2 linked regions of the Cricetulus griseus genome follow. The protein of the gene in region 1 interacts with the protein of each later gene in a biochemical or structural test. Links are inferred from orthologs where the notes say so. Each region holds a gene or a part of one and is shown on either strand. Other genes may lie near its edges.

Region 1 (4,521 bases):
CCATCTTCCCAGCCTTATAGTCACATCTTAAAGTAGGGACATGGCAAGCTTTGTAGTAGAGCATTTGCATAGCATGAATGAAGTCTTGGGTGTGATCTCCAGCACTGGGAAAAAAACAAAACAAAACAAAACAAAAAAACAACAAAAAAGTATGGAGGCAGCAGCTTTTCTTTTGGTACGATAAGAGCAGCTGAGTCAGAGGCTCAGGCATAGGAAGGGATAGAGATAAATGGCTCCTAGGATTTTCTAGCCAGTGATCACTAAGACAATCATGGATCTGTCTGGAGAAAAAACAAAGAAAAAGCTTGTCCACAATTTCCATTGCTTTTGGACCTGTGTCCAGACTCTAAACCACTAATTTGTGCAGGAAGCTGAAGCCTAGACTAATACGAAGACCTCAAGTTCTAATTCAAGAGCATTCTTAGGAGGGAACCACAGGGATCTCCTGGCAGAAGACAACTGTGATAATTCTGGCTTTACTGAATCACTGGAGTTTGAGTTACGTAGTTATAACAAGTATTGGTTTCACAGGTCTGATGCAGGATTGGAGAAAGATGATAAATGTTGACACATCTAGTTGACTGCCTGCCATGGAGTAACTGCTCAATAGGTATTTGTTTCCTTCCTAAGGTTGTAGAGAAGATTATGAGATAATGCCTGTGAAAGGACTATAAATGCAAAGTTCTGTACAAATGTTAACTTCCATTGTCACTTGCCAGCCAATGCCTCTAAAGTCCAGAACATAACAACTCCAGAGAAGTAAACTGAACCCATTGTTCTAAGAGACACAGGAATTCAATTCAGTAAACAATTATGTCCCCCTTTCCCCCCTATAAAAGCCAAAGACAATTGCTGCCATTTATGGAGCCTCCAATTGCAGGCCCAGTGTTTGGCAACAAGAATACAAAGAAGAATAGACATCACCCCAGAACTAGATGCACGTCAGATGGTGGTCACTAGGAGGCGTGGCAGATAAAAAAGAGGTCCACGAAACGTGGCAAGAGGTGTACAGAGACTGTAAGAGCCCAGAAAACAGACAAGTGCCTGTGAGAGTTGCAAGTGTTTCACCAGGTAATGACATGTATCCAAGGGCCTTGCGGGATGAATTCAGCAAGGGAAACTTTCCAGATAGCGATAACTGATCATAGGAAAGAGAAATAAACGCGCGAAGGTATTCAACGTGCACCCCACGCCCCTCAGCCTTATGATCAACAATATCATAAGCCCATTGTGATGGAAACCTCAGTCTGAGAAATTCTCGGCAAGGGGCTTGCTTTCCCCGTTCCTCAGCTAAACATGGGCTCCAGCAGCGACCCACCCTGGGGACACGGAATGCTGACGACTCCGCGGAAGAACGCGGTGTGGACCGGATACCCAGGAGTCCTGGCCCACAGCCCTGTCCGCAACTCCCACCATCTCACCATTTTGCCCCGCACACGATAAACCACCGGTCCACCACCGGAAGAACACGTCGGCAAGAGCAAGCGCGTTGAGCAACAGGAAGAGGATGTGGTCCCTCGCGCGTGGCATTGTGGGACTTGTAGTCCCGCGGTTTCAGGTGTAACGGTAACTGGGACTCTGAAGACCTATGTGAGTGACATGGGGTTGGAATGTGAGAGGGGGTAGTGCAGAGTCTCTGTTTTAATCCGTTTTCCCCGGAAATAAGGTCCACTATGAAAGCTGCGGTCTGAAGTGGCAGAGACTGCACTATATTTCCCAGGAGGCTGTTCGCGGAGGGCGGGTCACGTGACCGGAGCGCGGGCTTTGGAAGGCGGCGAAGCTGGAAACGACTTCGGCTCTACATCAGAAGAACGCGCTCGAGTCGGTTCTGAGGACTCCGTGGATGCCGGACCACCGCTAGCTGCCGAGGGAGGGTGAGGCCTCGCGGAAGCGGTGCTGAGAGCGACGAGTTACCGCGGGAGCAGCACCAGGCGGCCCCGGCTTTGACCATTCGCGCTGCTGGGAGCCTCCGTCTCTTCACCGGTAGGAAGTAGGTAATAACCTTTCCCCGCGAGGACTACGGCCTTATTTTAGAAACACTAGAAACGACTTGTTCAGTCCGTTTCCTGCCCGGGTCTGCGGGGTACTGCAAGAGGAAGACGACTAACAGGGTATTGCTAGGGGAGTTTGTTAGCTGGCAGTTCGGGGATTCCGAAGCAGAACCTCAGTCCACCCGGAGAGAGCAGAGCCTGTTTCTCCGAGGGCCCTTGTGAGGAGGTTTTGTACCTCTTAGGAAATGGGTCCAAGGTCTGCTGACATCAAGAGACACTGCTTGCGTCCTTTTCTTTCTTTCTTTCTTTCTTTCTTTCTTTCTTTCTTTCTTTCTTTCTTTCTTTTTCTTCCTTCCTCCCCCCCTCTCCTTCCTTCTTCCTCCTCCTCCTCTTCTGTGCTGTTTTTTATTTTTTTATTTTATTTTTTTTTTGGTCCAGGATATTTTTTTAAAAAAATAATTTTATGGTCATTGGTGTTTTGCCTGCATGTATGTCTGTGTGAGGGTGTCAGAAGCCCCGGGACTGGAGTTACAGGTATGAGCTGCCATGTGGGTGCTGGGAATTGAACCCCGGTCCTCTGGAAGAACAGCCAGTTAACCTCTGAGCCATCTCTGCAGCCTCCCGAGACACTGTGCTTTCTGATATTTCTGGCTGAGGGAGGCGTTTTATCCTCCATGCAGCCATTTCATGTAAGGGTTTGCTATCTGGGACATCCTGTGGAGGCGGGACTGAGATGGCATCAAGACAGAACAGTGTATCCTCTGTGACAGGATGGGTGCTGTCTTGTACTCATTCTAGCAAAGCAGTGAGACATGAACCAGAGCACTGGGTGGGCAACACTGGCACACCATCTGGTGATGTGTGCTTTCCACCTGGTGTTGGCCAGTTTTGCAAGGCAGAAATGATTCTTTCACAACTCATACCACAGAGTAAGTGCCTTAATTGTGTTTCACAGAGCTGAAGATGTGGCTCAGTGTAGAGCGCTTGCTGGCGCTAGCATATGTGAGGCCCTAGGTCAGTCCCTGTTGTTATGCACAGGACACATCAAGTGGTTTCATGGGTGGTGGCTGGATTCGAAGCTGGGCTTTTTATTTGATTTCTGGTGCTGGGGATTCAGCCGGGGACTTCAGCCTTGCTAGGCAAAGCTGCTGTACCTGTGAGCTATAATCCTCAGCCCTAAGGCTGGACTTGGCTGCTTGTATTCATAGGGGAACCACAATAATACAGACAGGAAGAAGAGAGGAAGGATGGCAGGAAGAACACACGGCTGATCGAAAGAGGGAGGTGGGACTTTTAATTAGGCTCCCATACTGTACAGGTAGATTTTGATGCTGTTCCTACTGAGGTGTTGGGACTCAGGAAGGGGAGTATAAGTGTCACATAGGCTTCAGAGAAGATACCATGGAGTAAGATTGGGAACAATTAGAACTCCTAGGATAGGGTTTTCTTTCTTCTTTCTTTGGTTTTTGTTTTTTGAGGCAGGGTTTCTCTGTGGCTTTGGAGGCTGTCCTGGAACTAGCTCTTGTAGACCAGGCTTGTCTCGAACTCACAGAGATCCACCTGCCTCTGCCTCCCAAGTGCTGGGATTAAAGGCATGCGCCACCACTGCCCAGCTCGCTTGCTTGCTTGCTTGCCTGCCTGCCTGCCTGCCTGCCTGCCTGCCTGCCTGCCTGCCTGCCTGCCTGCCTGCCTGCCTGCCTTCCTTCCTTCCTTCCTTCCTTCCTTCCTTCCTTCCTTTCTTTTTTTTTCAAGACAGGGTTTCTCTTTATAACAGTCCTGGCTGACTTGGAACTCACTTTGTAGACCAGGCTGGCCTTGAATGCACAGAAATCTGCCTGCCTCTGCCTCCCAAGTGTTGGTATTAAAGGCGTACACTACCACCGGCTGCCTGATAGGATTTTCTTGTGTGGAAACACTATCATTGGGCAAGCAAGATGATGCTAGTAAATTATGTATTAGAAAATCCTTTTTATTATATTTAACACATTAAAATATGACTGATATATGCAGGTTCCCCCCCCCCACACACACACACAGGATTTCTCTGTGTGTACTCCTGGCTGTCTTGGAACTGGCTTTGTAGACCAGATTGGCCTGTAGACCACTGCCTGACACATGCAGTTATTTTTGCTTAAAATGGATTCTCTTTCCAACTTAAGTTTTTGTTTGTTTTTTGAGACATGGTCTCACTGTAACTCTCGCTGGCCTGGAGCTTGCTATATAGATTAGGCTGGCCTGGAACTCAGATCCACTTGTCTCTGCCTTCCAAGTGCTAGGATTAAACAGGCATGCGTCATTGCCCAGCAGTGGTGCACACCTTTAATCCTGGCCCTCGGGAGGCAGATAGACTTATCTCTGTAAACTTGAGGCCAGCCCAGTCTTCAGAGCGTGTTCTAGGGCAGCCAAGGCGGTTACACAGAGAAATCTTGTCTCAAAACAAAAAAATTGTTAAAAGCCAGGTGCACGTCTTTAATCCCAGCACGTGGGAGGTAGAGGCAGGTAGATCTCTGAGTTCAAGGTCAGCCTGGTT
Region 2 (4,466 bases), on another chromosome or scaffold:
CAAAGACTAGTCTTTCTCCAACAGATTCCCAAAGCAGCAACACTAACACCATCGTGGAAATTCTGAGCAGTTAATGTGTGGAATGTTTAGCCTAGGTGCACCTTTGCAACGAATGCTGGTTCACACAAACCACACCCATCAAGTAAATACTGGTCTCTTTCCTCCTCCGTTGGATGTGATTCTCCTCAGAGTCTTCATCCCTCTGCACTTTGCATAATAGTTCTAGTGTACTGCACTAACAAAAACTTTAAAACCCATGGGCTTTACTGAAGTGTTCTTATTTGACATTCAAAAGATGAGGAGTCCCTTGAACAACTTCTGAAGCAGAAACACAGTCCTTCGATGAGGACGCTTCCCAAACAGACATTCGCTCATGCCAGTATGAGTTTCCACCTCACAGTTTTCTTGTGTAAACAATAAGACAAATACTGACGTCCAAATTTGCTGTAGAACTGCTGAGCAATGTCACTTTCTTTCCCCCTGGGGCAGTTTTTCCAACACTAACTGCTAACAAGCCTGCAAATAAATGAGTCTGTTATCCCCCTGAGATTAGTGAAGATGATCAGGCATGTGACAGACACAACCATCCCAGTTTTGGATAACCGTTAGTAAAGAATGGTGCTTACCTAAATAGCAGCTCTAAAGATTCACTTCCCTGACCTTCAACTGTATATACTGAGTGACATTTTATATGTAATGTATTTCCTTTTCTGAGACAAGATCAGATGGGATGTTTTCTTCCTATAAGTAAACATAGCACCAACATTGCTCTGCAGATCCTCGTGTGACTGGAGGACTGAGCTTTTGAAGGTTTGAACTTTATAAAATCAAAAATCCATTTACTATCTAGATGGAAAATAACAAGCAGGCATTGCATTAGAAAATGCTCTGGCACACAGGGCTTTTGGAACTCTCTTAAGAAAATCATTTGGAAAGAAAATATGGAAATGTTGGTATATTTAATTATCAATTTTGAAATCATTGACTTTGTTTGCTAAATCTATTTAGCTTAATTGCAAGGGTATATAGGATTGGCATTTTCTTCTAAGAAAAGATAGTCATAGCTTATGTATTTGCTAAGCAAAAATTTTATATGATTTAGATTTATCAATAAGGAACATATAATCATCATTATATACACCTGTTCTTAGGAATTTAAAAAATCCTTTTTTCCTTACCTTTCCCTCCCTCCCACTTCTTTCCTTCTTTCATTTTCTTTCTTTATAAAATATATTTGTTGACATATGTCAGTAAGATGCCCAGGCATGTTTCCAACCTGAGATCCTCTTGCCTAAGCACCCTCATTAGCTAGGGCTAACAAGAATTTTATAGGCTCTAATGAGTTTATATTGATACAAAGAAGCAGAATTATCCGTGGTCTTCAGGTATTCTACCAATTAGTGTGTTCATTTTAAAACAATTTTCAAAACTACTACGTTGCCAGGTATCCAAGTGTTTTTCAGGAGGTGACTTCTTGAAGGGAGCCGTTTCCCTGAACCCGGGGTGTGAGTCAGGTCGCCAAGGCTGCGCATGGAGGTCCCTCTCCGCCTTTGGCCTGGGTAGGCGGACCTCTCCTGCTGCACCGACTCAGCGGAACCTCTGTGCGCGCGCCCGCGTTTCCCCGTCGGGACGCTCTGGGAGGGACTATTGTCCGCCTCCGACTGAAACCGCTACGGGCCAGGAAGCAGCCATGAAGTTTCGCGCCAAGATCGTGGACCTGGCTTGTCTGAATCACTTCACACGTGAGCTGGCAGGGCCGCGGGGAGCGAGCGGAGAGTGCGGCCGCAGCCCTGTGAGAGGACAGGAGGGGTGGAGGGCACAGCTGGGGCCGTAGGCTGGGAGGGCGGCCCTAAGGGAAAGGGACCTTTCCCTTTGCAGTCCTCCCTCACTCTTGCTTCAGCCGGCACTGTGCCTAACCTTGCTCGCAGGCAGTTCTGTTCTGCAGTACCCAGATGCCCCCACGTTTATGTGGAATGTTCTCGATCGTCAGTCGTTCTCTGAGACTGTTTCATTATTGAATACTGGTGCTGTGGGTTGTGTGCCTCGCTAGGTGTCAGCGGCATTGTAGTACTAGCGTGATTCATGAGTTAGAAGCTCTGTAAGATGACCTGTAGGATACCGGATATGCAGCTTAGTAACTGCTTGCTTTACCAACCCTCGCTACAGGAGTCAGTAACATGATAGCCAAACTTGCCAAAACATGCACCCTCCGCATCAGCCCGGAGAAGCTGAACTTCATCCTTTCGGACAAGCTGGCCAGTGGTGGGGTGAGCATGTGGTGTGAGCTGGAGCAGGTGAGCAGGAACGCCCAGAGGCCCCAGGCTCCTGCAGGAATGCTGGAAAGGCCCTAAATGCCCGTCTCTGTCCTGCAGGAGAACATTTTTAGTGAGTTTCAAATGGAAGGTGTCTCTGCAGAAAACAATGCGATTTATTTAGAATTAACATCAGAAAACTTATCCAGAGCCTTGAAGACTGCCCAGAACGCCAGAGCCTTGAAAATCAAGCTGACTAACAAACACTTTCCCTGTCTTACTGTGTCTGTAGAACTGGTAAGTAGAAGGAAAAGGATTTCTGAACTTTCTTTTACAGGTGCCTTATTTATATTTAGGTCTAGGAAGTATAAGTAGCTATAAGCCTGAGCTCTCAAACAGTATTCTTGGAAGGGAATTAGTTTCATTTGAAATATAAGATCTAGTCCAGCTTGGTGGCAAATGTTTTAATTCCAACACTCAGGAAGCAGAGACAGGAAGATCTCTATGCCTATGACTTCTAGGACTACATAGATACACTGTCTCAAAATAAAATATAAGATCTGGCTCATGACTTACAATGAGAAATGTACCTTATCCTAGTCATTTTTAAACAAAGTCTTGATTGCACAATGTTCAACAGGATACTTCTTTTTCCAAACAAACTGCTAGCTAGAAGCTCTTTCAGGGTGTTGTCACCTTGTCTAGATGTTTTTATCCATTTTCATCTTAAAATTTTCCCCTCCTGTCTCATCATCTGTAATATTCTTAAATAACATGTTTAAGAATGTTGTTTCATGTTGGCGACCTAACATGTTCATAGCCTTTCACATATCTTGAAGGCAAATCATAAATTACTCCCCTCTGAGTTGTTCTCTGAATGTGTCTTTTTTTTCCCCAACCCCCAGACTGGTGACATCAATTGGACTATCTACATGGAGTTTCTCTCCAAAACTTTTCCTTTCTTTAGTGCTCTGCCCCACTGGGCTTCCATTTTCTTTACAACTTTCCTTTCTTATATGTGCTTTGCACATCTTGTGGGTAAGTATTGCTTTTGTTTTCAAGCTAGCTATAGAAGTTAATTCATGACCTCATAACTTTTTATGTGTTCTTAAAGCTAATTAGAGCATTCCATGTAATTATAAGTTTATCTAGTTTCTTAAGGAAAAGCATACAATATTTTTCTAAGTAAGAAAGCAAAATACTTTGGTTTCTTTTTTGTTGTTGTTTTTTGGAACAGGGTCTCAATATGTAGCTCTGTGATTGTCGTAGAATTGACTATGTAGACCAGACTGGCCTCAGACTTACAGAGATCTACTTGCCTCTGCCTCTTGAGTGCTGTGTGTGCCACTATACCTGGCAATACTTTGGTTTCTGAGCTTTAGAGATGCTTTGAGAAATAAACATGGTCTATCCTTTTAGTTCGTCAGAAGCTGCAGCATGCTGAGCGTGTGACACACAATGGTGTCTAGGTTGCTTTGGCCCATCAGATTTGCCCCTTTCTGTCTCCTGGGTTTATGAACACTGATACTGTCCCTCTGCCTGAAATCCTGTCTCCTCTTCTTCAGCTTCTCAGAGGCCGCCTGCCTCTCTAGTTTTGATGTCCTCTGAAGCATCACCTTCACTCCCCTCTGGCAGCTGTCCTTCATTTAGCCTCATTATGCGCTTCCTTCAGGCTCTGACGGAGTATCTGGTACAGCTTCGTGCACTTGCTTTCTAGTTGCTCCATTTGTTCCACTGAGGCCCTCTTGTCTCATTCTCTACACTTCTCAGAGACTCACAGGACCCAAAGCAGAACAGATACACCACACCAACAATTTCGGTTGAATAGAATTTGAGAGAATACATAAAGAACATTCCTTTTGGAATTCGAAAGGTTTAGAATTGGCTCTCACGTTTTGCTTTTAGCATTGACAACATAAATGATTATAACTTTTTTTCTTAGCAGTTGTCCTCATCAAGCAGTAGTAGAATTGTGACACATGATATTCCCATAAAGGTCATTCCTAGAAGATTGTGGAAGGACTTACAAGAACCATCTGTCCCAGACTCTGACGTAAGTGTTGTCTGTAGTCCTGTTGTTCAACACACAATTAAGGGCAGGGATTGAATTCTACAGTGCTAAGTGTCATCTTGCAGTGTACTGTATTTGAAGTTGTGTAGTTTCTGAAAAGAAAGTGATTCAATTAACAGGACTCCAGATATGAGTATGTGCCT

Evidence for each region.
Region 2: the proteins of Fen1 (region 1) and Hus1 form a complex in vitro, tested with the Homo sapiens proteins (2 studies listed by BioGRID). The link is inferred for Cricetulus griseus from reciprocal best matches to the Homo sapiens genes FEN1 and HUS1.

The regions. Positions count from the first base shown.
Region 1 is NC_048596.1:50,247,580-50,252,100, forward strand, and holds the start of Fen1 (flap endonuclease 1), read left to right. Parts: upstream 1-1,676; 5' UTR 1,677-1,983; exon of another isoform or gene 1,984-1,994; intron 1,995-4,521. Other genes in the region: transmembrane protein 258, read right to left, coding at 1,422-1,424. UniProt on the Homo sapiens protein: Structure-specific nuclease with 5'-flap endonuclease and 5'-3' exonuclease activities involved in DNA replication and repair.
Region 2 is NW_023276807.1:96,060,517-96,064,982, forward strand, and holds the start of Hus1 (checkpoint protein HUS1), read left to right. Parts: upstream 1-1,611; 5' UTR 1,612-1,690; coding exon 1,691-1,742; exon of another isoform or gene 1,743-1,792; intron 1,793-2,166; coding exon 2,167-2,294; intron 2,295-2,372; coding exon 2,373-2,549; intron 2,550-4,194; coding exon 4,195-4,305; intron 4,306-4,466. UniProt on the Homo sapiens protein: Component of the 9-1-1 cell-cycle checkpoint response complex that plays a major role in DNA repair. The 9-1-1 complex is recruited to DNA lesion upon damage by the RAD17-replication factor C (RFC) clamp loader complex.